Linked DNA regions of Macaca mulatta. The protein of the gene in region 2 interacts with the protein of the main gene of each other region in a pairwise test. Links are inferred from orthologs where the notes say so. Each region holds a gene or a part of one and is shown on either strand. Other genes may lie near its edges.

Region 1 (3,818 bases), about 59 Mb from region 2:
TAAAACTACGAAAGGAGAAGCGCTTGAGCTGCACGATGAGAACATTTGGCAGGCGCCATAGCAACAGCTGCTTGGAGGCCTCACGGTGCTGTTTGCACTGTGGGCAGTACCTGGTGGGAACAGAGGTTGGGTCAGGACCAGCAAGTCTCTCTCTTCTCCGTCCTGCCCCCTTATCTGCTTGCTGCTCTGTTCTCACCAGGCCTCCTCGGGTGCCAGCACCTCAGGCCGTGTGAAGAGGTTGAGGCACTGGTCCAGGGTGAAGTGGCCGGCCCGGGCAGCCTCACCGGCAGAGCCTGGATCCTCAGCACATTCCAGCTCCTTGGAGGCTACCAACACAAACTCCTGCAAACGCTCATTGTTCCTCCAGACGAGAGCCAGGCTACAATCGTCACCCAGCTCCAGTGGGGTGTCTCCTGGAGATTGGCAGGGAGAGAGGTCATGCAGCTGTGGAGAACAGCCAGCTCAACCCACCCCATGGCTCTCACCCACGGCCTCAGACACCTTTGTCCTCTAGCCGCTGCTCTCGGTTGGATGAGTCAATTTTATAGATGAAGAACTGTGGTGTGTGGGCATTCATAGCTTCACTTGGGTGCTGGTACCCAGGCACAGCGGCTGTGTGAGAACATGATAATCAAAGCTTCCCTGCCCATCAGGGCCTCACCAGGCCCACGAGGTCCTAAACAACAGCCCCCCCATCCTCCCCTACCTTCCTCCCCAGCTCCCAGAGCTTTTCACTGGATCTTACCTTCGGGTCGGGACACCCTCTCGCCAGCAGGCAAGGAGCCAACCTCAGTGGGCCCACTGGCCAGTATCTCAGAAGAAATTCCACTGGTGCTGGGCACAGGACCCCGGTCAGGGGCTGCCCACACCCGGGGAAGCCCTGTGTCCCCCTCAGCCATAGGGGTCACCAGCTGGAGCTCAGGTGGCTGAATGGGGTCCCTCTCACTGTCCCCAGCCTCCAGGGAGCCAGTGGAGAGCAGTGTGGTGCAGCCAGGGCTCTGAGACTCCAAGGCCATGCGGCCAGGCTGAAAGGGTGGCTGGAACACACTCACAGAGTACCTGGCAACAGAGAGCAAGGCAAGTAGGACTCCTGACCAGCCCATCTAGCACCTCTGCTCCCACCTACACCACTCTAGTCCAACCACTAGGCACTTACCGGGCATAGCCCTCTAGCAGCTGAGCAAGGCGGGCATAAGTGAGGCGTGAGGCAGGTACACTGACCAGGAAGGGGTAGCCAATGTTCTCAGGTCGGCAGAGGCCCTTGTGGTCAGGCCAGTGGGTTTTCTGGCAGAGCCTGAGGGGAAGAGGAAGACAAGGATAAGGCCTTTAGCCCCATCTCCTATAACTCCATAATGGGGGCTAGTCATAGTCCCTGGGAACTGGGTATGCCAGCCCTGCCTCCCCCAGAACCTGGTGAAGTAGGCAAGTAGAAAGCTTAAGCACATGTGCCTTGGTGTGAAGGGAAGGGGCAGGGTGGCACATGGAAGGTGGAAATAAAGGGTCGGGGAGACGATGGGGGTCCTCACTGGTTGCAGTAGCCCACACGGTAGCACCGGGTACAGCGCTTCAGCTTTTCATCCTCCGACTGTTGCTTCCGCTGGCAGGCTGCACACTTGGAGATGGGGACGCTGGGCACCTGGGGGCGCTAGGGTGGGTCGTCTGGCTCAGCAAGACCAGGCAGGAGTACCCCACCCACCGGGGCCCTATGCCATCAGGTTGGCCCCCACTCACCTGTTGCACCTCTAGCACCACTACCCGCTCCTTAGCCAACTCTGGGGATAACAGCTCAAAGCAGAGGAGCATATCAGATGGGGACACAGTGTCCAGTGAGTGGGAGGGCAGGAACACACGATGGAAACGATTCTTAATTACCTGAGGACACAGAACACACAGATCCCACATGAGGATAAGCCCTTTCCCTAGCCCTGCCCCAGAGTTTAAGAAGGCTTGGCCCGTCCGTGGGTCTATGTGGGCAGTGGTGAGGTCTGTAGGCCCAAAGAGGCTTAGCCTCTACTGGCACCCATCTCAGTGTCCAATGCCATACGGAGCCTGATGCATCAGAGGGCCTGAAAGACCGGGTATGAGGCAGATATCAACCACACCAGCTCTCCACACTGAGGGACTCTGCCCTGCTATAACTAGAATAGCCTTATAAGACTGTAACATACTATCACGGAGGGTCCATATTCAAAGAGCCTCCTCCCAACTCTTACCCCTGAGAAAATCGACACTGTCAGGCTAAAGGCTAGGAACCCCTGGGGAGAGCTAGCACACACAACTGGGATAAAAGGAGAGAGCAGCAGGATAGAGGGAGAAGCAGAGCGAACATAGGTATAGTCCTGCAGTTCAAGCTCCTTGTCTAAAAAGGGAAATGCAGTTGGGATCCACCACCACAAAGGGGAATAAACCCTGATAATGGCTAGAAACTGAAGGCACTTCTGTTGCACAGACAAAATAACAGCACATCACCTGTTTTTGTACAGTCACAGGCATACTCATTTGTATGTCTATTTTTATTTTATTTTTATTTTTGAGTCTTGCTCTGTCGCCCAGGCTGGAGTGCAGTGGCGCGATCTCGGCTCACTACAACCTCTGCCTCCCAGGTTCAAGCGATTCTCCTGCCTCAGCCTCCTGAGTAGCTGGGACTACAGACATGTGCCAACATGCCCAGCTAATTTTTTTTTTTTTTGTATTTTTAGTAGAGGTGGGGTTTCACCATGTTAGCCAGGATGGTCTGGATCTCCTGACCTCGTGATCCACCCACCTTGTCCTCCCAAAGGGCTGGGATTACAGGCATGAGCCACCATGCCCAGCCCTATTTTTATTTTTTATCTATTTATTTATTTTTGAGACAGAGTCTCACTCTGTCACCCAGGCTGGAGTGCTGTGGTGCAATCTCTGCTCACTGCAACCTCCACCTCCCGGGCTCAAGTGAGCCTCTTGCCTCAGCCTCCCAAGTAGCTGGCACTATAAGCATGTACCACCACGCCCAGCTGCTTTTTTAATTTCTTGTAGAGACAGTGTTCCACCAAGTTGCCCAGGCTGGTCCCAAACTCCTGGGCTCAAGTGATCTGCCCACCTCAGCCTCACAAAGTGCTGGGATTACAGGCGTGAGCCACTGTGCCCAGCCCATGTGTATGTCTGTAGATGCCAATGACTATACACACGTGTCTATGGTGAGTACACACACATATCCATATATATAATAGCCCAAAGAAAGACAAAGGTACCTCCGCCAAACGCAGATTCTCAGGCTTCACACGAACGCTTTGAGAGAGGGAGTCCAATACTTCACTGGCAGTGGAGTTCTCCTTGCTGACGCTCACTAGGAACTGTGGCAAAAAGGGCAGTCAGTGAGGGAGGTGGGCCACGTTCTCTAGAACAGCCCAGAGGGTAGGGGCTTACTCCTCACCTTAATGGGCTTGCTGTGGGGCTCTCGGGCGAAATAAAAGACAGGGAGAACCTTTTGCTTTTGTGGCAAGGGCACCGGCAGATAAAGAAACGGGTCAAAAGTGATGGAGACCTGTGGATGTAGAGGTGGCACTGGGTAGCTGCACACAGAGTGGGAGACAAAATGTTCATGCCCAAAGAGCCCATTCCAGGGCTTCTGATGGCTCTCAAGGCCTCCACAGCCAACCAGCAAACTCTCAGGCTTCAGGACACTAGATGGGGCAGGAGGACCACCAGGAGATAACAATCCTCCTTTCTGGCACTCAAAGCCCTACTCAGCTTAGCCACTTTACGAATTTGCCTCACACTTGCACCCCATGTGCCCACAACCCTGCCACAACACCTCTGAGCTCTAACATCACTTTTCC
Region 2 (2,974 bases):
TTGAACCCAGAGGCAGAGGTTGCAGTGAGCTGAGATCATGCCATTGCACTCCAGCCTCCGTCTCAAAAACAAAAACAACAACAACAACAAAAAAGGGAAACTGGGACACTGAAGTAAGCAGCCTTCAATCCTTGCTGAGCATTTGGCCCTAATCCTCTCAATTCTTTTGAGAGTTTAGGGTTGGGACTGAGGCAGTGGGTCACCATGGATCAACCCTAGCACTCTGGATGTCAGCACTGGCCAAGCGTCTTCCTTCTGACTCTGTAAAGCAGGAGCAATCCTCTTCTTGCACAGCTACTGGCACCATCAGATAGAAACGACAGCCCTGGGAGGAGACCTGCTGCACTGACATTCAGTGGTTCAGACACGTGAGCCCGGACCCCAGTGCTGTCATGGACCCACGCCATGACTTGGCCCAGTGACTGTTTCCACAGTGGAAACAGTGAAAGTTCCAACCCCAGATGTAGTGATGAAGGTTCACTACATGAATTGCACACAGTAGATGCTCAATAAATACCCGTTATTCAATTAGGGAAATGAAGCACAACATCCATTTTTGGAAAATATTTATTAAAAAACTAGTGAATGTGGCAGAAAAACAAAACCAACACACAGCTTTAAATAGCAAGCATATGACACACCGGTTATAAAGCTTTTCCAACTCTACTGACCTCGTCTTTCACACCAGCTACTGTCGACGAGGGCTTCCGAGGGAAGCCATGTGTAAACGGGTCATCTGTACTAGTGGTGAGCAAAACTAATTACATGAGAACTATCAATGGCCATATGACTTTCTTTCCTAGGCAATCCACCCAAAACATAGGTGAGTGACCAAATCTCAGGCGTGTGTTCATGTGGATCTATAGTTCTACTAGTTTTAATTTGAGGGTTGGGGGAGGTTAGGGGATGAAACAGTAGAAAGACAAACAGTATCGGCAGAGGGCAACCTTAAAGCACCTTTAAAATCTGGACCCTTTCCCACAATTTAACCCAGTAATTCTCAAACATTACTGCTGAAAAGAATCACCTGATGAGACTGTTAAATTGGCAGGCTCCCTAAATCTGCAATTTTAAGATAAGCACTCCGGGTGATTCAGTGTCTATTAGCCAGCCATCCTATTTGAGAAACACTGTTTAAAATGCATTAAAACAATTCCTACATCCCACAAACAAAAGTAAAGGAATCTGCTGACAGTCACTGTGCTTTTGTCAATGTCAAGGGACCAATACGCGAAGGCAGGCAGGAAGGGGCCTCCCATTCCTGACACACTGATCTATAGAAGCCCTGTGCAACAGCCTGTCAAGTGTTGTTTAGGGAGTAAATACAATTTAATAAGAGTTGTTTTAGATCACAGAACAGCCTCCAAATTACCAACAGGCCAACCCCATTCATCCCAGGTTAATGAACTTTGTTGGGTTGAAGCCAGATGGGAAACTGCTGTTCAAACAAAACACGGGTAATTGTGGGTCCTGACTTGTGAAGACATATGGAATAAAACATCTATAAAAACCTTTATTAAACATAGAGCACTATGCCCAAATAATTTTGATGGTTTACGAAAGTCACATCATGGACAACATGTAGAAATAGTCACATTGATTCCAAGGTTCCCATTATCTGCAAAAAGATGTGCTATGGCTGTGTCGAAAACAAGGCAGTCGCTGTTCATGATGGCCGCAGCCACACCGTCATGAATCGACCGGGGTGTGGCCTCCCAGGTCAATCTCCGCCGGTTCCCATTCAACTCCAGTCTATAGGCAAAGTTCTCAGCTTGCTTGCGGGTGCCAATGAGCAGGACGATGGCAAAAAACTGCTGGTGGCCTTCGTACTTCTCTTGTTTCTCCAGCACCAGCATGAAGTGATGGCCAAAACATGACTGCATCATCACCCAGTCGACAGCCCCTGGCAAGTTAATGTCTGTAGCTAGAAAGACGATGTCTTCTCCTTGGAGGGTGGTAATGCTCTTGTGGGCATGCATGAGATGGGACATCACAGCTTCCAGGGACCCCTGCCACTTGCAGGAGGCACCAGGACAAGGGCAGGAGTAGGGACGGTATTCACAGATGTCTTCATGTTCTGGTTTCTCCGTATGGTGCAGGGTCAGGGAACAGCCCGTGGTGGCATACTGCAGAGAAAGAAATGCATTGAGCCATTGGGCCTTCTCAAAACTTCTATTGCTTCAACCCTCTCTGAGTACTTAACTACTCCCTTTTCCTGGCCTTAAACTGGTCTTGGCTACTTTTGCTCAAAACAAGTGAAATATTCAAGACTAAAAGTCTCAGTCTCTGCTCATCATCAATGCTGTCATGCATAAAATCAAGGGTCTTTTCCTGAACCAGAAATATGCTGTTTTCCATGCCCCCTGTTCTGCTGTCAAAAGGATAAGAACTAAAGTTCTCTTACTATGCACATCTCAAAATTGTTGAGTAAGCCCTGTAAAATCTGGTCTTCCTCATATTTTCGGTGAAGCTGTTTTTTAAAGAATTCAATTGCTTGGGGGTAGGGATGGGGTTGGGCAAGGATTATTATATTATCCCCAGATTAGTTTTTACATACAGACAATATGAACAACAGTATAATTCTATTGTCCCCCTCCACTGCTTCCTGGCTCAAACTGGTGACTGGCAGGCAGGCCGTGGGGAAGGCTGCCCTTTGGTTCCTTGCTCTTTGCTGCTGGCATGACCAGGCTAGGGCAGCGGAGGCCTGGAGGCCCCTTCATACTGCTAGAAATATTACCCCACTGTATCCTTTTGATCTTCCCTCTGGGGGGCTTTGCCCATATTTTTTGGGTGGAAGGAAATCACATTCAAGAGCTACTTAACTAACTCATAAGACTGCCAGTCAGTCTGGTTCTGGCCAGTGGAGGTTAAAATGAGAAGGGCCTAACCCTCCTCTCAAAGCTCGCTAACCCCAACACTTCCTGCGATTCAAGAGCACATCACTTCATGGCCAGGTATGTCAGGTCCTCACAAC

Evidence for each region.
Region 1: the proteins of SIAH2 (region 2) and USP19 interact in a two-hybrid assay, tested with the Homo sapiens proteins (2 studies listed by BioGRID). The link is inferred for Macaca mulatta from reciprocal best matches to the Homo sapiens genes SIAH2 and USP19.

Annotation. Positions count from the first base shown.
Region 1 is NC_133407.1:112,547,929-112,551,746, forward strand, and holds part of USP19 (ubiquitin carboxyl-terminal hydrolase 19), read right to left. Parts: intron 3,524-3,818; coding exon 3,413-3,523; intron 3,333-3,412; coding exon 3,231-3,332; intron 1,873-3,230; coding exon 1,732-1,872; intron 1,646-1,731; coding exon 1,527-1,645; intron 1,295-1,526; coding exon 1,157-1,294; intron 1,060-1,156; coding exon 746-1,059; intron 613-745; coding exon 502-612; intron 414-501; coding exon 197-413; intron 111-196; coding exon 1-110. UniProt on the Homo sapiens protein: Deubiquitinating enzyme that regulates the degradation of various proteins by removing ubiquitin moieties, thereby preventing their proteasomal degradation. Stabilizes RNF123, which promotes CDKN1B degradation and contributes to cell proliferation.
Region 2 is NC_133407.1:53,779,063-53,782,036, forward strand, and holds the end of SIAH2 (E3 ubiquitin-protein ligase SIAH2), read right to left. Parts: intron 2,127-2,974; coding exon 1,569-2,126; 3' UTR 538-1,568; downstream 1-537. UniProt on the Homo sapiens protein: E3 ubiquitin-protein ligase that mediates ubiquitination and subsequent proteasomal degradation of target proteins.